Canis lupus familiaris: one gene and its partners. The protein of the gene in region 2 purifies or fractionates together with the protein of the main gene of each other region. This does not show direct contact. Links are inferred from orthologs where the notes say so. Each region holds a gene or a part of one and is shown on either strand. Other genes may lie near its edges. The genes, in order: REPS2, RALBP1 and AP2M1.

Evidence for each region.
Region 1: the proteins of RALBP1 (region 2) and REPS2 purify together in Homo sapiens (affinity purification with mass spectrometry; 3 studies listed by BioGRID and IntAct, counting the BioPlex papers as one, with this or other methods). This does not show direct contact. The link is inferred for Canis lupus familiaris from reciprocal best matches to the Homo sapiens genes RALBP1 and REPS2.
Region 3: the proteins of RALBP1 (region 2) and AP2M1 purify together in Homo sapiens (affinity purification with mass spectrometry; 3 studies listed by BioGRID and IntAct, counting the BioPlex papers as one, with this or other methods). This does not show direct contact. The link is inferred for Canis lupus familiaris from reciprocal best matches to the Homo sapiens genes RALBP1 and AP2M1.

Annotation. Positions count from the first base shown.
Region 1 is NC_049260.1:13,171,649-13,181,680, reverse strand, and holds the start of REPS2 (ralBP1-associated Eps domain-containing protein 2), read right to left. Parts: upstream 6,558-10,032; 5' UTR 6,488-6,557; coding exon 6,254-6,487; intron 1-6,253. UniProt on the Homo sapiens protein: Involved in ligand-dependent receptor mediated endocytosis of the EGF and insulin receptors as part of the Ral signaling pathway. By controlling growth factor receptors endocytosis may regulate cell survival.
Region 2 is NC_049228.1:75,536,806-75,546,776, reverse strand, and holds the start of RALBP1 (ralA-binding protein 1), read right to left. Parts: upstream 4,901-9,971; 5' UTR 4,763-4,900; intron 4,450-4,762; exon of another isoform or gene 4,306-4,449; intron 4,273-4,305; exon of another isoform or gene 4,238-4,272; intron 1-4,237. UniProt on the Homo sapiens protein: Multifunctional protein that functions as a downstream effector of RALA and RALB. As a GTPase-activating protein/GAP can inactivate CDC42 and RAC1 by stimulating their GTPase activity.
Region 3 is NC_049255.1:17,238,389-17,248,166, forward strand, and holds the start of AP2M1 (AP-2 complex subunit mu), read left to right. Parts: upstream 1-4,446; 5' UTR 4,447-4,565; intron 4,566-6,608; 5' UTR 6,609-6,651; coding exon 6,652-6,725; intron 6,726-8,628; coding exon 8,629-8,894; intron 8,895-9,643; coding exon 9,644-9,726; intron 9,727-9,778. Other genes in the region: DVL3 (segment polarity protein dishevelled homolog DVL-3), read left to right, coding at 61-276, 370-780, 1,644-1,675.

The DNA of each region.
Region 1 (10,032 bases), on a different chromosome or scaffold from region 2:
GACACTTTATTTCTAGAGGTTATATTCCTTCTTTATTTTTTAAGTAAGCTCTATGCCCATCATGGGGCTTGAACTCACAACCCCTAGATCAAGAGTTGTGTGCTCTACCCAACTGAGCCAGCCAGATGCTCTAAAGGCTATATTTGAAACTGAATAAACTCAAACAAACTGAAGAATAAAAAACATTTGCATTGGAATGTAAACTCCATGAGGACAGGGATTTGTGTTTGATCCATTGATGTAATCTCAGTACCTAGAACTGTGCATTATGAGTAACAGAAACTCAAATACATGTCAAACCCAAACCTGATTCCCACCACACCACCCTATGCCATCTAGTAAAATGCTGGTCTTTGAATACCAATGAAATACTTCACAACCTGGGAAACCAATCGCTCTAACATTTGTAGATCGTTGTCTTAAAAACCGTTTCTCAGACATTCATATTAACTTTTTCTAATTTATTTTTTTAATATATTTTATTTACTTATTCATGAGAGAGAGAGAGAGAGGCAGAGACACAGGCAGAGGGAAAAGCAGGCTCCATGCAGGGAGCCTGACGTGGGACTCGATCCCGTGTCTCCTGGATCAGGCCCAGGGCCGAAGGCAGCACTAAACCACTGAGCCATCCAGGCTGCCCAAATTTTTGTAATTTAAAAGGATATCGTCCTACCATTTTTCACCTAGTACTGAAATTTGGCTTTTAAATAAATCAGCACATGAAGATAAATACTCCAAAAATAGGACCAAAGATCTTTTTAAAATAGGCTATTATGGGGATCCCTGGGTGGCTCAGCGGTTTAGCGCCTGCCTTTGGCCCAGGGTGCAGTCCTGGAGTCCTGGGATCGAGTCCTGAGTGAGGCTCCTGGCATGGAGCCTGCTTCTCCCTCTGCCTGTGTCTCTGCCTCTCTTTCTATGTCTATCTTGAATAAATAAAAATCTTTTTAAAAATAAATAAATAAAATAGGCTATTATGATGCATTAAAATATAATTCAAGAGGGCAAATACACCACCTTCAGCCCAGGGCGTGATCCTGGAGACCCGGGATTGAGTCCCACATGGGCTCCCTGCATGGAGCCTGCTTCTCCCTCTGCCTATGTCTCTGCCTCTCTCTCTCTCTCTGTGTGTCTCTCATAAATAAATAAAATCTTAAAAAAAAAAGATGGCAAATAAGTATATGACATGATGCTCAACATCATGTCATTAGGGAATTGCAAATAGGAACAACAATGAGATATCACTACATTCCTTTGGTCAAAATCAAAAACACTGGTATTGTTAAATACTGCTGAGAATATGGAGCAACATGAACTCTCATGCATGGCTGAGGGGATTGCAAAATGGCACAGCCACTTTGGAAGACAGTTTGGCAGTTTCCTATAAAACTAAAGATACTCTTACCATATGATCCAGCAATCATACTACTAGGTATTTACACAAAGGAGTTGAAAACTTAAGTCCACACAAAAACCTGCACACAGGTATTTATGCCAACTTGAGCCATAACTGCCAAAACTTGAAAGCAACCAAGACGTCCTCTAGTTCATGAATGGATAAACTTTGGTCCGTCCAGACAATGTAGTATTATTCAGCACTAAAAAGAAATAAGCCATTAAGCTATGAAAAGACATGGAGGAATCTCAAGTGCATATTATTAATGAAAGAGGCCAACTGAAACGATTACATACTGTGTTTTTCTAACTATATGACATTCTTTAAAAGTGCAAAAATATAAAGACAGTAAAAAGATCAGTGGTTGCCTGGGGTTGGGGGTTGGGGGTAAGAGGAAGGGATGACTGTGCGGAGCAGAGAGCATTTTTAGGGGCAGTGAAACTATTCTGTATGATATTTTAATGGTAAATACATGTTATTATACATTTGTCCAAACTCATACAATGCTCAACACCAAGAGTGAACCCTAATGTAAACTATGGACTCTGGGTAATTATGATATGTCAATGTAGGTTTATCAATTGTAAAAAATGTACCACTCTGGAGGGAAGTTTTCCTAATGGGAGAGACTGTGTATGTGTGTGATCAGGAGGCATTATGGGAACACTATGCACCTCTCCTTCAATTTTGCTCTGAACCTAAAACTGCTCTAAAAAATTGTCTTAATAAATATATATTTTTTAAAAAAACATAAGAACGTACAACACCAAGAGCAAGTCCTAATGCAAACTATAGACTTTGAGCAATAATGATATGTCAATGTCAACAAATGTACCAGTCTGGTGAGGGATGTTGATAATGATGGAGGCTGTACATGTGTGCTGGTAGGGTATGTATGGGAATTTTTGTACTTTCCCCATTACTTTGCTACAAATATAAAACTGCTCTGAAAAAAATAAAATTTATATATAATATTTCAACAGAAAAATTCTTTTTTTAATTTATTTTTTATTGGTGTTCAATTTGTCAACATACAGAATAACACCCAGTGGTCATCCTGTCAAGTGCCCACCTCAGTGCCCGCCACCCAGTCACCCCCACCCCCTGCCCACCTTCCCTTCCACCACCCCTAGTTCATTTCCCAGAGTTAGGAGTCAACAGAAAGAAATTCTTAACATAACTTTCATGACAAAGTAACAGGTATATTTTTACTGCAAGGAGGAGACAAAATTAAGTATTTTTGTAAAACATTTACTCCAGGTAAGATTTTCACTCTGCCTGAAACATCATGGTAATCTTAATTATATGCTTATTAAGATAAAAAATCTGGCTGTTACCATAGAAATTACCAGGGATGGTTAGTGCCTCCATGATTTGAGCAGTTATACCTGTTGGGCCACTTAATTCTGAACTTACAGGTTCATGTTTAACAGGGAAAGGCTAAAAATGTCTACATTTGTTTTATTTTTTTTTTTTTTTTTTTTTTTTTTTTTTAATTTTTATTTATTTATGATAGGCACACAGTGAGAGAGAGAGAGGCAGAGACACAGGCAGAGGGAGAAGCAGGCTCCATGCACCGGGAGCCTGACGTGGGATTTGATCCTGGGTCTCCAGGATCGCGCCCTGGGCCAAAGGCAGGCGCTAAACCGCTGCGCCACCCAGGGATCCCTCTACATTTGTTTTAAAGAATGGCTAATACACTCATGGGGAAATGCAAATTGAGGTAAATGGAGCATGCACATACACATCAAGATACAACACACCACACCACACCATACCACACATCACCAAAATGGTTGGTAAAACAGGTGACTGCTGAGTGCTACCTTTGCTTGAATCTCTTCTGATTACATTTCCCTGTCCAGGATGCCTTTGATGTTCATTTTTACCTGCATGAAGAATACTGGACTATTGCAATTATATTAGGTTAATTGGGAAGGATGTATTTTATTTTGCTGGACTGAATAACAGAGCTTAAAGCTCTGAGAGATTTACTACAAGCAATCTTCTAGGCATGTCCCCCTTTGCCAACATCTGAAGCAGTCTTCTGCAAGCAGGTTTCAACTGGACATCAAGAGTATAACATCATTCATGCAAATGCACTGTGCCTTGGGTTCTTTCTAAATCATATATACTTCAAAGGAGCGTGTATTTTTTCTAACACCAGGAAAGTCCCCTCCCCAATTCCTTAGGAGTGGGGAACCAACACATTCACATTTAGCATGTCCGCTTTCTCTTATCACAGTACATGTATTACTGACTACAAAATAGGTCTTGGCAGGTGCCCAGCTGTCATTTACTTGCTGTGTGGCCTCAGTCACTCATTCCTTTTTCAGTTGAAAAGTTGCAAGAGCATTTAATAAATTTATATGGTTGGGAATATTCTGAGGGCCTCAAGTAATGGCCATGGTTTGTGTTTTAATACACTCACTTTTTTTTTAAGATTTTATTTATTTATTCATGAGAGAGACAAACAGACAGAAACACAGGCAGAAGGAGAAGCAGGCTCCCCGAAAGCAGCCGGATGCAGGACTCGATTCCAGATCCTGGGATCACGCTCTGAGCCAAAGGCGGACGCTCTACTGCTGAGCCACCCAGGCGTCCCAAGACACTGACTTTTTGTGTCTACCTAGTTCAGCTCAACCACAAACAGCAATTGCAGAACTTTCTACATAGAAAAGACTTCTTTAAAAAAAAAAAAAGGACTACTTAAGGGCTAAACAGCCATGCTAAGTTCTGTGAATACTAATTACATTTTCAGAAATCCTTTCTAAAAGGTGAAAGAGGGGATCCCTGGGTGGCTCAGCGGTTTAGTGCCTGCCTTTGGCTCAGGGCGAGATCCTGGAGTTCCAGGATCAAGTCCCACATCGGGCTCCCTGTATGGAGCCTGCTTCTCCCTCTGCCTGTGTCTCTGCCTCTCTTTCTGTGTCTCTTTCATGAATAAATAAATTAAATCTTTTTAAAAAATAAGATAAAAGGTGAAAGATTACAGAGTGGCTAAAGTTATGCTCACAGACATATAGGCATATGCATGCTCCAGCAGCATAAAGCAGTCTTAAATGGTAAGAAAAACGACCTACAAACACAGTGACATTGTAACTGAGCCATAAAATCCTCACTAATCCTCTGAAACTAGATTTTAAAATACCACTTCCCACTCCAAATATTCAATTGATGTTAACTTTTATACTACTGCTTTCAAGAAAAGCTTCATTTCCATGCACCCCTGTGTTTATATTTTATAGCAGCATTCTTACAACAGCCATGATATGGAAGCAGCCTAAGTGTCCATGTCCATCAATTGATGAATGATAAAGATGTGTGTATATGTTTATATATGTATATGTTTATACACACACACACAACGAAATTTTTTTTCGCACAATGAAATATTATTCAGGCATCAAAAAGAATGAAATCTTGCCATATGCAATGACATGGATGGAACTAGAGTACAACGCTTAGCAAAATAAGTCAGAGAAAGACAAGTACTATATGATCTCACTCATATGTGGAATTTAAGAAACAAACAAATGAGTAAGAGACAAATCAAGAAAGATACTATTAACTATAGAGAACAATCTGATGGTTACCAGAGGGGAGGAGTTGGGGGGATGGGTGAAACAGGCGATGGGGATTAAAGAGTGCGCTTGTCCTGATGAGCACAGGATGATGTATGAAGTACTGAATTACTATATAGTACACCTAGAACTAATATGACACTGTATGTTAACTGGAATCAAAATTAAAACTTAAAAAATAATTGAAAAAAGCTTCATTTCATGTTTTGGGCCTGATTTTAAGAATCTTATCAACATGGGACGCCTGGGTAGGTCAGCAGTTGAGCACCTGCCTTCAGCCCAGGGCATGATTGGGCTCCCTGCATGGAGCCTGCTTCTCCCTCTGCCTGTGTCTCTGCCGCTGTCTCTGTGTCTCTCATGAGTAAATAAAATCTTAAAAAAAAAAAAAGAATCTTATCAACATGAAAGCCTGGTGACATCAAAAGACGATGGTTATCAAATAGTCTTTCTCCGAGCTCCAAGGAAAGCACAAAACAAAAACAGCATGTGCTGTGGATCATCCCCTCCTCCTCTTCCAGGTATGGAGCAGCTAAAAGGAGGTAGCTGTGACACACATTACTTTCCAGTTCTGTTTCAAGTGCATGCAATAAGATGGGAAACTACAGCTGTCTCCTATGCTGGACCTCTGGGGTCTATCTCTGGCCCTAAACAGTAAGCTTGGCTTTGCCTTGACTGACATCCTCTTACAGCCCTTTGTCCCTGCTCTGCAACGTGTTAAGGCTTTCCAGTTTAATATCAATATTCAGAAGTACATTAGTGAGCAAATACATATAGTAGATATATATATATATATTAATACGTACATGGGGCGGACAACATTGAGTTCTGGGCCCCGCTGTATACACACACACACTTACCTAAACACACACTTGGAAGTTCAAGTTCCAGCAAGGCACCCTGAGCACCTACCCCCTTCCACCCACCCAAGGGAGGGAAAGGCAGGAGCAGCGAGCAGAGGTTAAACCAGACACCAGCCAAAACAAACAGCACTTCCAGAACAAGGCAAACTTTGGGTCTGGGCGGCTGCAGAGCCCCAGCAATGGCCGGGGGAGGGGAGGGAGCGTCAGTCTGTCTCAGGGGAGGAAGACGGGGAGCGCACCCTCCAGAGCTGCGGAGGAGGCTGGTGCTCCCTGGGGGACAAGGGCGTCGCCGCCATCCCCGACTTCGACCTGGCCGAGGCCTCCAGGTCCTTGAGCAGCCCTATCGGCCCACCTCGCCCCCTGATCTCCACAGAAATGGTCCCCACAGACAGGCGCCGGCTGAGGGCGCGGGGACATACCTGGTGCAACGTCTCGGCGGGCAGCTGCGACGCCCGGAACAGGTCGGCCACGGGGCCCGCGGCTGCGGTGACGGTGCCGGGGACGGTCCTGGCGGCCTCAGGGGGCCCGGACCCGGGGCCCCCGCCTGCGGCGCCGGCGCAGCGCGCGAACAGCTCGGAGTAGCACTGCTGCTCGCCCTCGCTCAGCAGCAGCGGCGGCCCGGAGCCGCAGCCCCCGCCCGCCGCTGCCTCCATGGGGCCGGGAAGGGGGTCCGGCGAAGCACCGCCACCGGGTAGGGAACAGCTGCCTCCGCCTCAGCCTCCGACGCCTGGGTCTCGGCCTCGGCCGCCGCCACCGCCCCCACGCCCCGCAGCTGCCGCGCCGCCGCTTCCTCCCGGCGCGCGCCGGCCCCGCCCCCAGACTTGAATGTTGTGCCTCCGCCGCGCGGCACATGGAGACAGGCGCGGGGCGAACCAATCGCAGCCTGGGATCGTGCCCCGGCCCCGCCCCCGCCGTCCGCCCCGCCCCGCCTCGCCCCGCCCCGCGCCGCGCCAGGTAACTAACTCCGCCGGCCGCCCGCCCCGCCCGCGCTGCCCGGACCGGGAGGCCGGGGGCCAGCGCCTGACGCACCCCCGGAGCCCCGCAGGGGCGCCTCCGGCTCTCCGCCCTGGCTGGGAAGGGAGACGACTAGACCCACCTGGAGCATGGCGCTTTTCAGGGGGCGGAGAAAGCTGTGGTGGTTTTTCCCTAGAACTGGAGCAGGTGCGGCGCCCTTCGCAGAAGAGGGGGGAGACAGGAGAAATTAAGCTTCCCTTTTTGCATAGTGCGCTTCTGTCCTGAAAAGCTGGAGGACAGAGATCTCCAGAAGAACTGCTCGCAGTGACTCCGCTTAGCATTCATGGTGGAGATGAGGTTAGGCTACTTTCTCAGGTATGGCTCATACCTGGAGTTGTGCCTTAAAAAGGAATACCGTCAGTTAGTGTTAAATACTAGAGTGATAAGAGTGAAAAGGGGCCCTGGGAAGAAGAATTGCATATATATATATATATATATCATATATATCACATATATATCATATATATCATATATATATCACAAAGAAAAAATGAGTCCAGAATTAAGCACTAATAAAAAATACAATTTCAAATTTAATAAACAGACATATATAAACCTTTCACCCCAAAATAATTTTACTTTAACTAAAAACAAACACTATCTCAAGAAATAGCACTGATGATAACAAATATACTTTGGTATGTTGGTCAAACTAAAATAAGGAGGAAGGACAAGACTGAGAAAAAAAATCAACAAATGGTGAAGGGGGAAGAAATACATAAGAAATAGATAACAAAAATGATTAGAGTGCCTGGCAGGTTGATTAGGTGGAGCATATGACTCTTGATCTTAGGATCATGAGTTCAAGCCCCACTTTGGAAATAAAGTTTACTTAAGTAAAACAGGGGGTTTTTTAACAAAAAAAAAAAAAAGAAGAAGAAGAAGAAGAAGAAAAATTATGTCAATCCATAAATGGTGACCAGAGTAAGATTTCCCTTTTGGAATCTAAGGACATGAAATAGAGAAGAAGATCCACTCTAAAAGCAGGAAGTTCTCATCTCTTCACTAAGATTTCCTTATACCACATTTTGCTTTACAGCTACCAGGAGAGAATTAAGCTTGTGGACAAGAATACAGAGAGGATAGGTAAGTAAGGAACAGCAAAGACTATCTTAGCTGGGGAATTACCATTTTAAAATCTCACCACCTCCTGTATTTTCCAAACTGTGATAATTTCTAAGGAAAACTGGAAGCCAAGAGATCATGTTTACGCCCTTCCTACCTTTTTAGTTACATCCTTGGGATTCCCTGAGAATCACCCACTATTCTTTTTTTTTTATCACCCACTATTCTAACAGAGGTTAGAAAGGGACTCACCCTTTGTGATAAAAGCCAAAACCTACTTTCCCCTGTGACACCTGGAAAAAGAAATGTGAGATATAATAATCCCTAATATTCATACAGTTCAAAGCTACATTATCTCATTTAAGACTCACAGTAACTCTCTGAGGTAGATTGGGAAAACATTTTCATCTTCATTTTGCAGATGAGAAAATGGATGCAGAAATGGTGTGATTTACCCAACTGAATACTAGATTCGAAGCTGCTCTTCATTATTCAACTCAGTTTAATAAATTTGACAGATACTCATCAGCACTGCAGATCCTGCTGAAATGCATAGAAAGCCTTACATCTGTGCCTATCCATCAAGCAGCACTTATTGGTAGAACAGGAAGTATTAACTGTGTCCCTACGGGGGTACTGTGAGGGATTAAAAAAAAATACAAGACGTGTTCCTTTCAAGGAGTCTGCAGCTTCACTGGAAAAGACAAAACTAACACAACAAAGAAAAACAAACAATAAAAGACAATGTATAATTAAGTGCTAAATCGTGTACCCCAGGCTAAGCGCTGTGGGAGTTTAGAGAAGAGAGAAAATCCAGGAGCCAGAGCCCAGCCAGGAAGGCTTAATGAAGAAGGCACCCAGATGGATTATTGACAAATCGGAGGGACTGGGGGAGGTAAAAGGAAGGACAAGAGAGGGAGGCTCACAGAAGAGGGAGGAGCCCCAGGGTTGAGGCGCCAAGACAGTGGTGAGTGTGAGACAGCAGACTGGCATGGGAGGGAGGGAGATGGCGGGTAGAGGTGGGGGGAGAGGGACAGCCTCTCTGGGGCTCTAGGATCCCAGAGGGAAGGTGCTCAAATGGAAGACAAGAGACAGAAGTGACCCAACAAGAGTTACATTTAAACCCAGGATGCAGGAGGGGAAAATGGCATTTTTTAAATGTTTTAATATCTAAGGAATGCCAAGTACTGTTCTTTATTTCAGTAGTTTTTTGAGTAAAAGCAATAGTGATCACACTTTAGAGTTAACACAGATACGAATGTAAAAACTAGAAACACTCATATCCCTTAAGGCTGACGGTAAACAAGAATTTTTTTAAAGATTTTATTTATTTATTCATGAGAGACACAGAAAGAGAGGCAGAGACATAAGCAGAGGGAGAAACAGGCTCCCTACAGGGAGCCTGATATGGGAATTGATCCCAGGACCCTGGGATCACAACCTGAGCCAAAGGCAGATGCTCAACCACTGAGCCACCCAGGTGCCCCAAACAAGAACGTTTTAGAAGAGAATTTCTTTTTACTTTTTACAATTCTAAATTTACACACTTGTTTGGGCTCCATCATAGCAAAAGGCCACAATGATAATATAGTTGACCTTGAAACAAGGCAGGGATTAGGGGCACTGAACACTGTGCAGTTGAAAATACACATATAGGGCAGCCCTGGTGGCGCAGCGGTTTAGCGCCGCCTGCGGCCCAGGGCCTGATCCTGGAGACCCTGGATCGAGTCCCACATCAGGCTCTCTCTGTATGATGCCTGCTTCTCCTCTGCCTGTGTCTCTGCCTCTCTCTGTCTCTATGAATAAATAAATAAAATCTTAAAAAAAAAAAGAAAATACACATATAACTTTTGACTCTCTAGGAACTTAACTAATAGCCTCCTGTTGACCAGAAGCGTTACCCGATAGCAAACACAGTTGATTAACATATATTTTGTGTATATATTACATACTATATTCTTACAATGAACTAAGCTAGAGAAAAGTGTTTTTAAGAAAATCATAAGAAGGGCACCTGGGTGGCTCAGTATGTTAAGTGTCTGCCCTTTGGCTCAGGTCATGATTCCAGAGTCCTGGAATCAAAACTGGCATCTGGCTCTCTGCTCAGTGGGGAGTCTGC
Region 2 (9,971 bases):
ATTTATATAAAATGTCCAGAACAGGCAAATCCAGAGACAGCAGCAGATCAGTGGTTGCTAATGGGTGGGAGCAGAGGAAATGGTGAGTGGTTGATAATGAGTAAAAGGTTTCTTTTTTGAGGTAATTAAAACGTTCTAGAGTTGACTGTGGAAATGGCTGCATAATTCTGCAAATATACTAAAAACTACTGAATTGTACACTTTAAAAGGATGAATTTTATATGAATTACATTTCAATAAAACTGTCATAAGAAAAAAGCAGGTTCAAGTCTTTGCCATGTTAAAAATCACTCTCTTAAACCTTTTTACCATCTGCTAACACCTCTTTCCAGTCTTCCTGTCACAGCTAAGATTTGTTTATTCTTGAAATAATCCACATTTACTTTCTTCACTCTCTGATCTCCCATTAACTTCCCAATTCAAAGAAACTAGCCCCTTCCCCAAATGGTAGCATTAAGTAGAAGGTTACAAAACTGCTCTTAGTTATCAAATTCAACAGACTCCTAATAATCCTTGTTTTACTCAAGTTCTCAAAGCATTTGAAGTACAGCTTCCTATTTTAAATTTTTTTTCTTTTTTCTGGAGAGTTAGTAGTGAAGCATAGCTTCCCTTTGAAATGATTACATTTTGGCTTATATGACATTTTCTCATGACTTCCTTGCATCTCTAAATACTTAGGAATTTCCCTTTCCAAGTCTTCTTCCTCTATCTGGCTTTAAATGTTATTCTCCATTGTCTATTTCCAGAACTACACTCCACTGGTAAGCTCTTCCTACATGGTATTACAGAAATCAAAGATTTCAGCTACCACCTATAATATAGCCTGCTGACCCTCAGAGCAAGACCTCTCTCTTCGACTCCAAACCCACACACCCAACTCTATAGCTGATGCTTCACCTGGATGTTTCATAGACAACTCCTCAACATATCCAAAAGCTGAAATACTGTTCCTCCCCCCAGTTGGCTCCCCTTCCTGAAGTCCCTGTGTCAGTACAGTTGACCCTTGAACAACAAGGGTTTGAGCTGTGTGGGTCTACTCAAATGTGTTTGGTTGTTTATATATATATATATATATATATGTGTGTATATATATATATATATGTATATATATATATACACACACACACACACACATATATACAGCATTATAAATGTATTTTTTCTTCCCTATGATTTCAGTAACATTTTCTTTATCTTTATTGTAAAAATATAGTATACAATACATAATATATAAAAATATGTGTTAATTGACCTTAAGTTATCAGTAGGGCTTCCAGTCAACAATAGGCTATTAGTAGTTAAGTTTTGGGGGAGTCAAAAGTAATATGCGGATTTTAGACTGCAAGGGGGAGGTCTGCAAGGGGAGGGCTGGTGTCCCTAACACTCACACTGTTCAAGGGTCAACTGCAGTTTACCACTGTCTATTCAATGATCCAAGTTAAAATCCAACTGTAACTGAATCCTCTGAATTCTACCTTCTAAACGTTTGTGCTATTAATCTACTGTTTCGCATCTCCACTGACTCTGCCTTGGTTTAACTGAGGACCTTACTTGCCACCTCAATTATTTTTTTTTTTGTCACCTCAATTAGTACAAAAACTCCTAACCAGTCTTTCTGCACCCTGCCGTATCTTCCCTCCATCCCTTCTGAAATCTGCACTCTACAATACCAGAATGATCTAAGATGAATATTTTATGACTCTTTCCTGATTAAAATCCATAAACTCTATTATCTATATTCTAGGGGAAAAAATTCTAGAATCCTTAGAATGTCATGCAATACTCAAGGATCTATCTGTGCAGCCTCCTCTTGTGCAACTCACCACCATAAATCCAATGCTATAGTTGCAGACAATGGCTTCCAGCTCTCCGAAGTGTTCCACGCTCTCTAATCACATTCAGCTTTCCTTCTGCCTTAAGTTCCTCATTTTCTGCCTCAGTCATGCCTAAACCTTCAAGTTTAAGGACATAAAGCATAAAGTACCTAATGTAACACTAGACACATAGGAGGGAGTTAAAATGGGCTGAGCTGGCTTAGGCCTCTGTTTTCCCTATCCTGTCTCAGTGACTTCTATTTGCTTGTAAGACAAAAGTTGAAATTACTTCAACCGTGTATAAGACCATCCATAATTTGGCCCCTGCCCACTAGCTATACCTGCAGATCCTACAACTCACTATGGAAGCGGAGACTCCCATGCTTCTGCTCACACTGTTCCTTCTACCTAAATGTCCTTTCTTACTGTTTGCATCCCCTCCTGTACACACTTTCTCCTTACCACTGCCACCTTCCTCCATCTCTCTCTTCCCTTAGGAAACTGATCACTATCTCCTTTGTACACCTCTATACCCCCATACTTTCTCTAAGTAATCTTAAAAACATATTGTACTTGCTAACAGTTCAAGTAAGAGATAAAGTCTTATCACCCAGAAAGCAGGGGCACAGCCTTATCCATCTGTAAGTCCTCCTCACCTGCCATAGTACCTGCTAACACAGTAATTCCTCTAAACGATCCGCGTTCTTCTTTATTCCTTCCACATATACTAAAGTTTCTATCAGGAATTTTCTTTCAAAAAAAAAAGAAAGAACAGGGCAGCCCGGGTGGCTCAGCAGTTTAGCGCCGCCTTCCGCCCAGGTTGTGATCCTGGGGACGGGGGATCGAGTCCCACGTCGGGCTCCCTGCATGGAGCCTGCTTCTCCCTCTGCCTGTGTCTCTGCCTCTCTCTCCCTCTCTGAGTTTCTCATGAATAAATGAATAAAATCTTAAAAGAAACAACAACAAAAAAAAAAAAGAACATACTTTTGAATACCTTCAAGCCCCATCTCCCCTTGCCAAGCAAACAGCTGTGCAAATATAAGGGTGCAAATTAAAGTTGGTATTGATTCTCTGATACTACTTCTAGTTTTCCAAATAAGATCTAAAATGAGAGATACTATTTTGAAAAAGAGCCAAGTATGTCACATTGCTTCGAGACACTTTGTTCAAAGAATTACTTCTCGGTTGTTAGTTACTATTAAACTAGTCCACCCACGTAAATCTATGGGTCACTCTGAAAAGTGGGAACCACTTTAACTTCCTTCCTACCTCTCCTACTGCCAGTACCGTTTACAGCAATTACTCATTTTCAGAAAGACACTCAGAAAGGAACTAGCAAATCACCAAGACAACCGGAAAGGCGTCAAGGGAGGTTACTTTTCTTATTCACAGTCCCATTTGCTTGCGTTAGCAGGGCTGCCTCCATGATCACCAACCCAAAAGTCAGCGTGCTCCTTACCACCACTTAAATACTTGATGAGTAACCGCCAAGAATGATGGAAGGCTACGGAAAGTGCTGCAGCAAGCGAGCATGCCCACTCCACTCCAAAGTATTCAGTGAGAGCTCTTCTGGTGAGGCTGGATGATGTGTGAACTCCCCGTCCAGACGACTGTGCCTCTCTTACAAGGCACACGCACACTACCTCGAGTTAACATTCTAACTACTTTCAAAGACTCAACCAGGCCTTAGAGGAAACAAGCTGCTTGGCCAAGAGGGAGGCCCTGAAGGAATGAACCCCAAAACTCAAAACAGCGTTTAATTACTTCAGGTTAAGACTGAGGTGTGGAGTATTTTGAAAAACCTGTTCCATTCCTACAACGATTTAAAAAAAAAAAAAAAAAAGTGTCCTCAATAAGAGCGTTTTGGCACAAGCATACTTGAAATTGAGTTGTAAAAGGAATTCTCAACTCCAGATCTGTCCGTCCATCCGCAGGGAAACCTGAACGCGAGAGCGCAGCACCCAAAGGAGCCCCGGTGCTTCGTGCCAGCGGAGGGAAACCCCGGGAGCCTTGTCCCGGTGCACCGGGCCGGTCCTGGGGCCGCTCAATATTCCGGGGGCGATGAGGAAAGAGTGATTATATAAAAGGCGGAGTCCCCCGTCCCGGCGCTGCCGAGGCCTGGGGACTCCGCGGGGAGCGGCCGGCTCCCGACTCCCCCCTCCGGACCCCGAGAGCACCGAATCCCAAATGCCGACGCCACGAGGGAGGCCCGGCCGGCAAGTGGGAGGAACGGCCGGCAGCCGGGCGACCCCCGGGGAGCAGCCTGCCGGGGAAGAGCCCGCACTCGGGCAGCCACGCCCCCCACCCCCACCGCCAGCCCCGCGCGCCGCCTGACAGACGCCGCGGCGGGGCGCGCAGGAGAGGCTCCCCCGGGGCGCGGGGCCCGCCACGACCCCTGCGCGCCGCCGCTGCCCGCCACCAACCTGCGCCTGCCGCCGCGCGACCGCCCGCCCCGCCGCCGCCGCCGCCGCCGCCGCCGCCTCGCGCTCACCGTGCCGCCGCAGCCACCGTAGGCGCCTCCTGCGCTGCGCCCCTAGCCGGCCTCGGGCGCCCCATTCCCACCCCGCCCCAGCCTCCGCCTGTTTACAATGATTGGGACAGAACGCGACGAGCCGGCCCACCGCGCAAGCGCACTCCCTCCTCCCGCCGCTGCCGGCTTCCTGGGTCCTCCTCTCTGCGCTGACGGCTAAAGCCGTCAAGGGCGAACGCCCTGTGCCCTCGCGCGCGGCACGCTGGGAGGCGTAGTTCTCGGACGCCCAGCGCCCAGTTTACAAGAGGGCCCTCCGTCGAGGAGCCACACTACAACACCCAGGAAGCACCGCGCCTACTTCGGCCCAGAGGCTCGCTGAGGAGACTGAGGGAGCGCGCGAGAGAATGCGCCGCGGAGGGCTCAGCGGGCGCGTGCGCAGTTCCCGGTCTTGGGGGACTGGGTGGGAGGCGGCACCTACCTACCACGAGCGGAGATCGCCGAGGACGGGTTGGCGGGCAGCGCCTCCGGTGGTCTGGAGAAAGGGAAGCGCTTTTCTCTGCACGCTCTGGCCGGCTGCTCCTCAGCTCCCGAAGTGCAGCCCTTCTGTGCCAGCAGGCTCCGGCCGTCCTAACCAGTTAGACCGGCCTCGGGGGCCGGCCCGGCCTGCCCCTGGGTGGGGCATCCTCCCGGCCTTGGGCTGGGTGGGGACTCCGGCCGTGGGCCTCCGAGGGGAAATCTGCGTGAAACTGTGTGTGCAGACCCCGCCGAGAATTCCTGAATTGGCAAGGGCCAGCCTTCGGTTCGAGCTGGGCTGCGGGACCGTCTTCCGCCGCCCTCTTTGGCTCGACGTTTGCAGGGAACACCTGAATTAGGACTGCCCAGCCGCGTGGTTAGGTTGCGAAGAGAAATAACTTGAGTTGCAGGGAAGGCTGAAAATGACTGAATTCCCCCCCGGGAAACCTAAGCAAGGCTTGAAGAATTATTCTGCTAATGCATGGCTGGAAGTCGGGTCCTTTGAGGTGTTCTTGTTTGATTAAGGTTGGCTCATTATTAGGGGAATGATTTGGGTTAAATGCTCTTCCCAATCATTTCCATTCCTACGTGCGATACTCTCGAGAGATTCATTGTATAATGTCGATTAACCTATGTAACCTGTCTTGCGCTATACCTCTCAGATAAGCTAACAGATCTGAGAACAAGTCTCCCTTGTATCCTGCGTTTTCTTTCTTTTTTTTTTTTTTTTTAATATTTATTTATTCATGAAAGACGCAGGTAGAGAGAGAGAGGCAGAGGGAGAAGCAGGCTCCACGCAGGGAGCCCGACGCGGGACTCGATCCTGGGTCTCCAGGGTCATGCCCTGGGCCAAAGGCGGCGCTAAACCGCTGAGCCACCCGGGCTGCCCATACCCTGCGTTTTCTACCCAGTGAAGTTCATCCCCCTAAGCCTGAAGGTGAAGAGTCTCCTGGAATTAGATACCGACGTGGTCTGTTTTCTGACAGTTTGAGGAGCTCTTTTTTGACCCTCTGGCGACAGAAGAGTGTCGGCTGACCGCTGAGATGGGCATGTTTACGATGCCAGTTACAAGTGCTCCTTGCTCCATTAATGGGGACGAGGGATAGGCACTGGCCTGAGTTGGACATTATTGAGCCCTTTGTGAAATCGCTATATGGACCTTGAAATGATAAATTGACAATTCACTTGTGGTTGGAGGCTTCAAATTTCTTTCTCAGCAATAAACAAGAGAAAAGAAAGGCGGATATAGAAGACCCTCATTACAGTATCAGCCAATACTGAAATATTTGACATATGCAGAAAACTCCCAACAGCAGAATATACATCCTTTTCAGACAAATGAAACATTGTCCAGTATACATCATAAGGCAAGTCACAGAACAAATCTCTATAAATTTTAAAGGACTGAAAACATACAAGTTATTTTCTCTTTCCACAATGGAATTAGCAAAAACAAATTTGAGAAACCCCCGCCCTACATAACTGGAAATTAATATTTTTAAGTAATCCATAGGACAAAGAAGAAATCACAAGGAAAATTAGAAAATACCTGGAACTGAATGGAAACAAAAATACAACATATCAAATTTAAGGGAAGCAGCCAAAACTGTGCTTAGAGGGAAATTAGTAGCATTAAGTGCTTAAAATTAGAAGAAAGACCGTAATCTAAGCTTCTATCTCAAGAAGGTAGCAAAAGAGAAGTGAATCAAACCTAAATTAAGTAGAAATCAGGAAACAGGATAAAAATAGGAATCAAAAAATCTGAAGCATAAGGAAATAGAGAAAAAGACCCAAAAGTCAGCTCTTTGAAGATATCAAATTGATAAACCTTTGGCTAGACTAAGAAAGAGACCTAAATTGCCAAAATGAGAAATGAAGAGAGAATACTATAGACCTTACAAAAATGAAAAGTATTCTAAGAGAATATTATGAGCATCATAATTCTGATAATTTTAAAAATAGTTGAAAATGGAGGCTTTCCTGGAGAGAACAAATTACTAAAACTAACTGAAGAGAAAAGGAAAAGATCCAAATAGACATATATCAGGGTAAAAAACTTGAATTAGTAAATATAAATCTTCCCACAGGGAAAAGGCCAGATCAAATGTCTTCACTGGTGAAATCTATCAAATATTTTAAGGGGAAAAAATAATACCAAATCTATCAATACCTTTTTAGAAAATAGATGAGTAAGGAACACTCCTCAATTCATTTTATGAGGACAATCACCCTTATAACAAAACCAACAACATCACAAGAAAATAGAATATCCTTCATGAATAGTACACTTTAAAAGGGTCAATTTTATGGTACAAGAATTATACTTCAATAATGCTTTTTTTAAAAATATGAGACTTGGATTAAATATTCTAAAGACTACACCACCCTTGGATGAACAGAGTAAAAAAATCCAGTGCTTGTTGCCTGTATCCTTGGGACTGGCACCTAAACAGTTCACTGGGTCATGGCACTGTTACATAGTTGAAATGTCCTATTTTTATATTGTTAAATAAATAGATTATAATTTAATATTTAATAAATAATGAATATTAAATAAAATGTTATAGTTTTATATATCATATAAAAGATACACTATTTAGAGCTCATGACAAAAATAGGCGTCCGAACTGTAAGAGTTCACATTTGCTCTTCACAACAATTCACCCCACAACTCAGTGGCTTTAAGCTATTCTACTGCTCTTGCAGTTATAGTTAGTTGGTGGATTAGGTGGGAGTTGGACTCATCTGGGGCAATTGGGATGGCTAAGCTTCTCTCTGCAATGGTCTCTCATCTTCTTAAGGTTACTTGTATTCTCAGCATGCAAACATGTCATTTACTAATGTCCCATTGGCCAAGCCAAGTCATATGCCATGCTCCAGATTCAAGGGATGGAGAAATAGACTCCACCTACACGGAAGCACTGGGAAGAATTTGTGTCCATTTATTTGCAATCTATGACAAGAATTCTCGAATCTCCTTGGCTCCTGCAGGAATGATTTTATAACCTCTAAGATCTGTAAGTTAGTGTGAATTGACACCTTTTAGTTGAAACAACCATAAATCATATGTGAGTAAAAACTACATTCTAGTATCTTCCCTCCAGTTCCCTCTAATCCTAAAGATTGTCTAGGAGTAAATAAACTACAAAGCTGATTCAAATGAAAAATTTACCTTACAAGCATCCATCCAATATAGTAAAATTATTTCCATTTCTATTATATTCTGCAGAGACAGTGCTTAATTTAATCATCTCGGGGGGGAGAAATGGTAAAATTTATGTCATAATTTTGAAGTATAACACTTGCTTTTTAAAGTTATTAGTGACAATGTTGAGGTTTTTTATTTAGAAATAATAATTTGTATCATGAGTTTATGGATCATGGTTTTGGCCTAGATAAATCTAAACACATAAAAGTATTTTTCTGTTTCCTTGCCACTGGGACAGAGGACTGCCTTTCCCCCAGCTCATTGCACTCCCTACCCCACACCTACTCCTGCTTCTGGGATCTGTAAGTAGCACATCTTGTGATTTTACTTCCATTGTATGTGTTAAAACTGCACCTTCAGGGGCATCTGAGTGGCTCAGTTTCATTTCAGCTTAGGTCATGATCACAGGAGTTGGGCTCCCTGGTCAGCAGAGAATCTGCTGAAGAGTCTCTCTGTGCCCCTCCCCCCGCTCAGGAGTATGTGCTCTCTTTCTCTCTAAAAATTAAAAAAAACAAAAACAAAAACAATAAACTGTGCCTTGGATCAAAAGGACCCCAGGTTTTTTCTTCTCAAATTGGGAGCTCAAATGCTGAGGCAGTTACCAGTCAACCCTGTGTGGGTTTCTTGTGCCTCTTCACTCAGCAGGTCATAATCTACATATTCTTAATTTAATACACCAGCTATGGGCCCTCAAACACACCTCACATAGTTTAAAGTATCTTTTTTCTTTCAATTAGCAATAATCGCGCCTTGGATAAACCTCATTGGCTACGATACTGCCACTGCGCAAAGCTGAAAGTATCTTTTTTCTATGCTGACAATTAACTGACTGGATTTGGCCAAGTACAGATTACAAATTCTTCTACCTCAAGACATTGAAGACTTTGCTATAATCCTCCTAGCTTCTAGTATTGCTGTGGGAAAATCCAATGATATTCTGAGTTTTGATCCTTTGTAAATAATCAAAAACCTTATATTTTCTCCTTCTTTAAGAAAAAAAAAATTAGAATCCAGAGGTGGACCCTCAACTTTATGGTCAACTAATATTCAACAAAGCAGGAAAGACTATCCACTGGAAAAAAAGACAGTCTCTTCAATAAACAGTGCTGGGAAAATTGGACATCCACATTCAGAAGAATGAAACTAGACCATTCTCTCACACCATACACAAAGATACACTCAAAATGGATGAAAGATCTAAATGTGAGACAAGATTCCATCAAAATCCTAGAGGAGAACACAGACAACACCCTTTTTGAACTCGGCCACAGCAACTTCTTGCAAGATACATCCACAAAGGCAAAAGAAACAAAAGCAAAAATGAATTATTGGGACTTCATCAAGATAAAAAGCTTCTGCACAGCAAAAGAAACAGTCAACAAAACTCAAAGACAACCTACAGAATGGGAGAAGATATTTGCAAATGACGTATCAGATAAAGGACTAATATCCAAGATCTATAAAGAACTTATTAAACTCAACAGCAAAGAAACAAACAATCCAATCATGAAATGGGCAAAAGACATGAACAGAAATCTCACAGAGGAAGACATAGGCATGGGCAACAAGCACATGAGAAAATGCTCTGCATCACTTGCCATCAGGGAAATAAAAATCAAAACCACAATGAGATACCACCTCACACCAGTGAGAATGGGGAAAATTAACAAGACAGGAAACAACAAATGTGGGAGAGGATGTGGAGAAAAGGGAACCCTCTTGCACTGTTGGTGGGAATGTGAACTGGTGCAGCCACTCTGGAAAACTGTGTGGAGGTTCCTCAAAGAGTTATATCTGCTGTATGACCCAGCAATTGCACTGCTGGGGATTTACCCCAAAGATACAGATGCAATGAAACGCTGGGACACCTGCACCCCGATGTTCATAGCAGCAATGTCCACAATAGCCAAACTGTGGAAGGAGCCTTGGTGTCCATCGAAAGATGAGTGGATAAAGAAGATGTGGT
Region 3 (9,778 bases), on a different chromosome or scaffold from region 2:
CTAGGGGTGTGGGGGCAGGGCACAGACCCAACTCATCTGGGCCTCCCCTCCCCTCCACAGACATGGCCAACTTGTCCCTCCATGATCACGACGGTTCCAGCGGAGCCTCTGACCAGGACACTCTGGCCCCTTTGCCACACCCTGGGGCTGCGCCGTGGCCCATGGCCTTCCCTTACCAGTACCCGCCACCCCCACACCCCTACAACCCACACCCAGGCTTCCCAGAACTGGGGTACAGCTATGGTGGGGGCAGCGCCAGCAGTCAGCACAGTGAAGGTAAGGTGGAGGGGGTGGAGGGTGGTGCACAGCCCCAAACTGCTTCTGCAAGCTCTGAACATGCCCCGCTGGGGGCCTGCCTGTCGCCTATAGGCAGCCGGAGCAGTGGCTCCAACCGTAGCGGCAGTGACCGGCGGAAGGAGAAGGACCCGAAGGCGGGGGACTCGAAGTCGGGCGGCAGCGGCAGCGAGTCGGACCACACAACCCGCAGCAGCCTGCGGGGGCCTCGGGAAAGGGCACCCAGCGAGCGCTCGGGTCCTGCCGCCAGCGAGCATAGCCACCGCAGCCACCACTCAATGGCCAGCAGCCTGCGCAGCCACCACACGCACCCGAGCTACGGCCCCCCTGGCGTACCCCCTCTCTACGGTCCCCCAATGCTGATGATGCCCCCACCGCCCGCGGCCATGGGGCCCCCAGGAGCCCCACCGGGCCGCGACCTGGCCTCCGTGCCCCCTGAACTGACCGCCAGCAGACAGTCCTTCCGCATGGCCATGGGAAACCCCAGTGAGTTCTTTGTGGATGTGATGTGAACAGGACCCCTCCCCTACTTCCGTCCCACCCCTACACCTGGGCGGCTGCGTCCCTCTCTCCATCCGTCCATCTTTTTTACTTTGTCTGGTACCTGAAAGGGAAATAAATTGAACTAAATTCAGGCGCGCTAACTGCTCGCTGGGCGCAGTGAGGGCGGGGTGCACCCACCAATTGCCGCTGCGGCCCCTAACCTGCCACCGGACCCAGCTTGTCCCTCTACCCACTAACCGCTGCGCAGGACTCCCAGGACCCTTCATGTCACTGGGACCCGACTTGCTGGTGCTGCTCCTTATTCCCCACATACACTTCAAGAATTGACCCCCGCAGACCCCCTGAGGGCCTGTTCACCCCTTTATCCCCACGTTTCTCCCCTCAGGAACCTCGCACCTTTCCTTCCAGCTACATCCACCCTTCATTAACCGCATCGCCTCCAGCATGTGTGCCAATCTCTTAACTTTTTCCCTGCACTACTGACAACAAAAAATACTTGCTTCATCCACCCCCCCTCTAACTGCCCAACCCACCCTACTCCACCCCAGCCACTGCTTCAGTGCTGCATCCTAGAGCTGTGGTCACTTCCAGTAACCATCCACACTATCCCAGCCTGTGCTAGCCTTTACTAGAAGCCCAGAAAGGCCTCCTAAGTTGCCTGAGCTGCTAGCAGCTTCCAGGAAGCATAACTGTTCTACCCCTATATCCATACTCCCCCATGCCTGCTGTATGTGCTGGTTCCATCAGACCCCTAACCCTACTAACCAGGCTCATCTCACCTCTGGGCCTGAAACATTTCTTTTCTTTCTTTTCTCTTCCCTCAATTTTTCCTGGGCCTGGAGCAGCCAAGAATTTCGGGCTGTTTGACTTTCTGTGAGCCCCCAGCAAAGGGAGGCCCAGCCTCCGAGGAGACCAGAAGCCCTGCTTCAGCAGCCCCTCAGGGCTTCCCAAGGATGTTCAGCTCCCACACCTACACTTCAACATGTTGAGTCACTAGGCTTTTGTGGAGGGCTCCAAACTCTCACCCATGTATGAGAGACTCTGTTCCCCTTTCCCGAGAGTGCCCCATCTCTCTCTCTCTCTCTCTCTCTCTCTCTCTCTCTCTCTCTCTTTCTCTCTTTCTCTCACACACACACATACACACATGTGCCTACGCAAGTTCACTTAAGCCTCAGGGCTGGTCCCTACCCAGAGGGCCGGACCCTCTCTCCCAGGTCGTAGGGCTGGTCCCGACTTCCCTGTCCCCTCCCTTATAGCCCTCAAGCCTCCCACACATGTCCCCATCATCCTCCTACCTGGATAAAGCTCATAAGCTGGATCTCAGGTTAGGCTCTGCAAAGGACTTCCCAAGCAACTGACAGGTTGTTCTCACCCTGCCCCTTACCCCACACAACCTTCTGTGATTTCACAATCACTATGATACCCCAGAGAAAGGTTGGGTAGGGGGACTTTTGGGAATCCTGAATGCTAGGTTTTATTTTTTACCTTATTCTCCAGTTTAAGCAAATCATGACTTTCTCTTTAAGCCTCTTCTATAAATTCTCCTGGCTGACTGAGGCATCTATATTTTTAGGACTGGGGTGTCAAGAGTAGGATTCAGTCTTAAGCTCCAGGCTCTGGGGCAAACCAGGGTAGAGATATTTTGGCATTTATTCATTTAACAAGTACTTCCTGGGGTATTTGGTGACCAAGGGCTGTGTTGGAGGCATGACTCAGTCTTGCTTACGTTCTAGGAGCTCTAGATTTGCTCCCAACCAAGGCCATGGCTTTCTCCCACCACTACAGGACTGGTTCCTATACTTTTCCTTTTCTGATTCTGCCTTGTTCAACTCCCTTGAGAATTCCTCCACTATTGCTCATGCCTTCTATGTTGGTGCTCCCAGTGTTCCATCTTTGGTTCACTTCTCTTTCCTCTAAGTTTACTACCCAAATGGTGTCATCTATCCTGATGTCCTCAATTGCCACTGATACACTGGTGATTCTAAAATGCCTATCTCCAGCCACAACTTCTCTCCAAATTTTAGATCTGTGTTATCCACTGGACGTCACCATGGACATATCTATATGGACTCAACTCATTTCCCCCATCAAGTGTGTTCCTCCTTAATTCCAACTCTGATGATCTTTAGCACAGTCTACATAGGCATACCAGCTAGGAACATTTATGGACTTAAATTCTTCCCCAACTCTTACTAGTCAGCATATCATATCCATTCCACTTCAACAGTCTTTCTTGAATATGGTCCTTCTTCTCCCCCCGCCTCTACCCTAATTCATAGGAGCACGGGATTTGGAGTCAGGTTGTTCTGGGCTTGAATCCCAGCTCTACTACTTTTTGGTTTCGTGATAAGAGAGTTACTTAATCTCTCTGAGCCTCAATTCCCTCATATGTAAAATGATGATAATAATACCTACCTCACAGGGTTGTTGTGAGGATTTAAATTAGACTTGTACGAAAAGTGCCTAGCACAGTGCCTGGCACAGAGTAGAATAGGTGCTCAATAAATGGTAGCTATTATTATTACTACTACTACTATTATTATTTATTCTAAATTGGTAGGGTATTATTGATTGAAGATAAAGCTTTTGGAAAGGTAGCAGTGAAGATCTGAGTGCCGGTTCAAGATTTAGAAATGCCTGTATTCAGTCACTTAATGGATTCACATGGTGACCACTGTTTGAGGAAGGCCAGATCTTCATCCTGCCACATTCTGGCTTCTAGCAGGAGGATGCTGGGACAGTAGGGTTTGTAACCAGGTTTGCCCTTTTTTGCCCTTCCTCCCATGATGGGCTCAGCACCAGTGAAGGCATAAGGGAAGCTCTCCGTACAGAAAGAGAAGAGCTAACATTTTCTTCGGGTCCTGTAAAAGTCAAGCAGGGCTTTCATATCTGAGGGTTTGCTCTGTCTTTTCTTCTCAGCTTGGGTGTGAAGATTAACTCTGTTCATTAGAGAAGGGATTTCAAGTTCCATGTCCAGCTAAACTTGCCAGCAGTTTTTTAAGCAACATATATGCCATCACTAGAAGGCACACAGGTCCTGGCCTCAAGGGGTCACATAGGTATGTGTAGTTGGGATAGAACAGACATTCTTGAAAAGCTTTGGCTAGTTTCTTACAAGTATTTGCCTCCTCCATCTTTGCCCTTTTACTTGGGTCTTGATCCCTGGGAAGAGGCTCACATCTGGAACAAATATTTGATGAAAAGTCTTGGGAAAATCAGAGCTGGTGTTAGAAAGCAGTAAATTTAGTGCAAACACTTCTGCCAAGTCGTGTGTGTGTGTGTGTAAAGTGAGCACAGCCAGTGTTCGGACTCCAGAGACGGAAAAGGCCTACAGCAATCTCAAGCTTAACAGATGGGCTTCAACAAATGGCATTAATCCTCCGAAGCTCTCCTAGACGCTGAACAGGATGGATTGCAGACTACAATTCCCAGAATGCTCGGTAGGGAAAATGAAGCGAGTGGAGCGGAGTATGATGGGATGTGGCCACGCCTATCCCTCCCCAAGGCACGCCTAACCCGCTGAAGGCAGTCGGTAGTTGTAGTCTTCCTAAACCTAGAAAGGCTAAAATTGTAAGCTAGAAGGCCGAAGGGCCTGACGGGATTTGTAGTCGGCTCGGTCGCCGGACGCGCACGCGCAACTGTGTTCGGGGCGGGGCCACGGCACTGCGGTGAAAGCCGAGGCAGCGGGCTGGCGAGCAGGGGGCGGGCGGACATCTTGGGATCTGGAGAGTGGCCGGGCGGGCCGAGCAGGCGGCCGCGGACGCCAGGTAAGCTCGGAATCCGGCGGAGAGTAAGGGAGAACGCGTACCCCGCTACCCAGCTTTGCCCTTCCCTGCACTGCGCTGCGCGAAAAGCTGCCCACAGCCGGGAGGGGCCTCAGCCTTCTGATCTGGAGCTGACGGCGGGGCGGGGGCGCCCGGGGCGCGGTTGCAGGGTGGGCAGGGAGCGGCGCCCTCCACCGGCAGTCCGGCGCCTTCCGTGACAGGGAGACCTCCTGGGGTCCCCCCGGAGCCAGGATGCCGCGCGGCGCCCCCTTCCTCGGGATCGTGACAGCCCCCCTGGTGCCTTGGCGCCGCCTCCTCCCAGCGCAAGGACAATTCCCCCATCTCCTCGACGGTGACACCCCCTCGGGCCGTCTCCCTGGGCTGTGACAGGCCTCCCACCAGCCGCACCCCCTCCCCCCAGTTGAGTGACACCCCTCGGCTCTTCTTCCTCAGACCTGTGACAGCCCCCGCAGCCCCGTGGAGCCATGTTCATCCCCGCGATGTCTTGCTCCCCTAGACGAAGAGCCCACCCCCCGTCATGCCTCCACACTTGAACCCTAAAGCAAGTTAACGCCGCCCCAGCTTTCCCCTATTCGCCACTTGTCAGTCTCCTCCCTGCTGTTTCAAAGTCTTGACCTTTGCCACACTGGAAACTCCTTCCTCCAGATGTCCCCGTCCCCCCCCCCGCCCCCCAGCCCCCAGCCCCAGCCCTCTTGCTGCTGCAGGTTCACCTGACTAGACCGCCTGGCTCCTTCTGCCCGTCCTTCCCCTTAGCTCAGTATTCCCCTCCTGCCCTGGGCCCCACCTCCGCTCCTTCGGTGCCCTGCGGCCCCTACCACTTGATATCTGTGAACTTGCTTCTTTGCCCGGGGCTCTACCTCCCATTTTTCATTTCCTTTCCCAGCCTTTTTTGGGACTCTGGGGTGGAATGTGTCCACCACCACCTTGAGAGACCTCTCACTGAGTTGGGGAGACCCTGATGGCCTCAGTAATAGGGCTTTATTTTCCAGTTTAGAAAAGTCTGCTAAACTCCCTCTGCCCTGTAAAATCAATACCAGAGCTAATTCAGGAAATCTAGAATTAAATTAACCCTTTTTCTCCTTGCAAATATTTTGACCCAAATAATTTGGATAATGCACACCTATTCTCTGCCCCTTCCTTATAGGTACTCAGGCCAGAAATGAGTTATGTCATGGTTCTGGAATCATAGAATGTCAGCTGGATTGATCTTTGTGTTTTATAAACCTGTACTCCCACCCCCTTATTTTTACTGCACTTGGGAACTGAGAGGGATCCTCCCTTTTTGAAAGGGAGGTGGTTAAAAATAACTAATAAGCAGCTTGGGTCATTGAAGTGTAGTCGGCCAAGGCTGGGCCCTTTCTCCTCTGCTCTTTTGCCTGCTTATCTGACTGCCTGGGATTGGTTGGAGCCACACTCCAGGGTCTGTGTCAGGGCCTAAGGCCTCCCTTGTCTCCTCCCCACACCCTGCACACCCTTTCCTGGAATGTTTAGACTTCTGTGAATTAGAGAGCCACAGGTTCAGGCCCTGCTGTCTTCTCCGAAGGGTTAGTGGAGCCTGAGAGACCGGGTGCTCCTAAAGCCGTGCCTGGGGGCCCCAGGCCTGAACCAAGTGGAATAATTCCTACCGCCATTCCTGCAGCCGCAGGCAGGCCTTCCCAGTGACTCACCGGCTAGAGTCTGAGTGAGAGTCTGCACAGGAAGGGGCCAAAAAGGATCTGTGCTGAGCTCAGCACTGAAAAGAGGGGGAGGGGGCTACACTCTGGGCTCAGCCCCAGGAAAGGGAGGGTCAAAATGGCCTTAGAATCCTGGGCCCAAGTCCCTCTCCATTTCTTTCTCCTTTCCAGTGTGAGATAAACAGGAACTGGAGCCTGGCTAAGGGGAGGGGCATGCCTGGGGAGGGCTTCAGGGTCACTTACTGGAGGGTTGAGTCAGGAAAAAAAGCCCAGCCAGTGACCTGCACAGCCCCACAGGGGATGTTGGCAGAGGTTCTGAGGCCTTCCCTTACCCTGCCTCCGCCTGTCCTAGGTCTGTTCTCAGAGCGATGGGCCTTGGAGACTGAGCTGCCGCCATGATTGGAGGCTTATTCATCTATAATCACAAGGGGGAGGTGCTCATCTCCCGGGTCTACCGAGATGACATCGGGTGAGTCCCCTGGCTGAGCCAGCTGTGTCCCCACCCCTCATCCCTCCTCCCCAGCATGCAGGACCAGGTCCGTTCCTACCAGAGACTGGACTTTGGCCACCCCCATCCCTCGCTGCATCTTAGAAGCTCAGCTAATACAATCTGGTTCCCATTAGGTCTGGTGGTATTGGCCTGGCAGCCAGTTATTGGCCAATAGGTGGGACCTGTGGAATGGTGTGGCCCCCCACAGTCTTAGGAACTCTTGTCCTTCCTGCCTTCTCCTTTCCTTAGTGACAGACCTAGTTGCTAGAAATGAGTGCTTTTGCCCTGGTAGATGAATTCCTCCCTTGAGGAGGAGGGAGATCTTTCTCCAGGGGGTGAAGTTAGTGGACAGGCTAGTGGTACTAGTCCATCTAAGTCTTGCTCTCAAAAGCCCTTCTCACGGTGAGAGCCTTCACTGAATTCTCTTGAAAGCTTCTCCAGGCTGCCAAATCCTCTCCTACTCCCTTTCTCAGGAGGAGGCAGGCTGCTGACTCAGCTGTTTTCAGTTCCTCTGGGCCACTCCTAGAAGAGAGGTTGTGAGCAAGCTTGGGGCACTCTCCGGGTCACTGAAGGAAGGGCAGGGAGGCCATGCTGCCCTTCCTGGCCTACCAGAGTAGACCCGGAATAGCTCCTTGTTCTAGGTCCCTCAGACCTTAGCAAAGAGACACAGCCTGCCTTCTCACTCTGCCCCACACTGCATGCCACTATTCTTTCCTGAATGAGAGGACATGTCCTAGCCTCAGCAGCTCTAATGAGATTAGGCATCTCTGGTTCATGCTGCCCTGTTTTTCTTCCTCCAAGAGCTTAGGTTAAAGAGTTATAGGATGGGCCTGCTGCAGAGCCCAATAGCTTCTTGGCTCCCAGCTCCCTGGCTAGTGGGCTGGCCTGGCCTTTGTGGCTGTTTGTCCATTGGCTGGTGGTAGGGCATGAACTAGAGTTGTGGCAGTGCCTGGCTTGCCTGAACCTGGCTGGCTATACCCATCCACACCCCCTCCTGCCTGCCCTGGATGGACCTGCTTAAGCCAGGGCACCTACTGTCTTGCATGACTTGCTATGCTTTCCACCCCTTGCCTCTTGCTCGTCTGCTTCCACTTCATGGTGTGTGCAGCCTACCCCAGGATGTTGTGTGTCTAATCCTCTCTCTCGTTGCTGTCACTCTCCTCTTCTTGCTGGCGTCATTTCTCTCATCCCATCTCATTGGCTGCCGTAGCAATAGGTAAGCAGCCTGTCAAGCTGCCGCCCAGGCACAGGTGGGTGGGGGGCCCTGCCCCCCATCATTGTTTTCTTTGTCTGTTTTCATTCCCTGAACTTGTCCTGGAATTGGATCCTGGACGGGAACAAATGGCCCAGCTCCATGGCCCCTTGGTGCTTCTTCCTTAGATTAGATTAGAGCCTACTCTGAAGTTATGCTGGCTTTGCCTCACTTCTAGAAGAGCCAGACCTCCCACTGGTGGGATCACAAGTGGGAGAACTGAAGAACAAGCAAGTTGTCTTTGTCATTTGGGCCTCGAGCTTACTGAGAAGCTGGAGAGGTGGCAGCTGGGAAATTGGGACCTCAGCAGGCCTCAGGCCTCAGCATCAGGAACATGCCTCCTTAAGTGTGATGGACTTCACTTTATTAACACTATACCTGTTCTCCTGTCATTCCCACCTGACTTACCTGTCTCTGGTGGCCTTCAGACACCAGCCCAGCTCTGGTCCTATTCCCATGCTGGGAGCCACAAGGGAACTGCCCCAGTAGTTTAGGCTTTGGCTTCAGATTCATAGTACGTGTCAGACTTAAGCAGTGAAGGGATGAAAAGTTGTTAGCAGCTGTGGTTGATCCCCATGGAGTGGGGTTTGCCTGGGTGCTGAGCAGCCCCTGTGTACTCTTTTCCCTTAGGAGGAATGCAGTGGATGCCTTTCGAGTCAATGTTATCCACGCCCGGCAGCAGGTGCGCAGCCCCGTCACCAACATCGCTCGCACCAGTTTCTTCCATGTTAAGCGGTCCAACATCTGGTTGGCAGCTGTCACCAAGCAAAATGTCAATGCTGCCATGGTCTTCGAATTCCTCTATAAGATGTGTGATGTAATGGCTGCCTACTTTGGCAAGATCAGCGAGGAGAACATCAAGAACAATTTTGTGCTCATATATGAGCTACTGGATGGTGAGGCTGGCAGGGCGGTGGGCCTAGGGTGGGGATGAACCTGATGGGGCCTAGCCTGGAGGTAGGAGCACTTGTGAGGTTCCCTCCAGTGCCCTCTCAACTTTCTTTCCTGAATATCTGCTCTTTTGAGCCCTGAAAAGGCCAGTCTAAATTCAGCCCCAAAAGAAGCTCTGAAGTAGAAGAAATAGTGAGTGGAGGTGGGGAGAGGGGGCAGAGAACCAAAAGATTTTTCAGGGGGCTAGGAACCTATCTGGGGCTTGGTAGCTGGACCTCCTACAGTTAAGCATGTTTCCTTCTTACCTTTGTAGTTTGGGCCTTAGTTCACTGACTGTCCTTCCAGCTTTCTATCTCAACAGGCTCTGCCTCAGAGCCTGAAGGAGGTTGAGATATGACCGGCTTCTGGGGTTGCATTATCTTTGTTCCTTTGTAGGGTATGATTGAAAGGAACAGAGTCTTTCTACCTTCCCAGGGTCTGTTTGTTTTCTAAGGACTCAGAGCTTCTTGATCTCTCACCCACTGGCCATAAGATTCTTCTGCTCATTTTCTCTGTGAAAAATATCTGATGTTTTAATTGTTGTCTTATGAAGCACAAATCTCAAAGTAAATGCTACAAAGCTAGAGGACATTGCTGCAGATGATCCCACACTCTTCTAGAGCTCTGCTGGCCAGATTTGTCCAGGCCAAGGGAGATATTGGACTGAAGGAGCCTTCAGCTTTTTCCAGGGCTGATAGTTCCCTTCCTTTTGCAGAGATCCTGGACTTTGGCTATCCACAGAATTCAGAGACAGGAGCACTGAAAACCTTCATCACTCAGCAGGGTATCAAGAGCCAGGTACTCCCTTGTATAGCCACAGCAAGGGTTGGGCCCATCCTCCTCAAGCTCC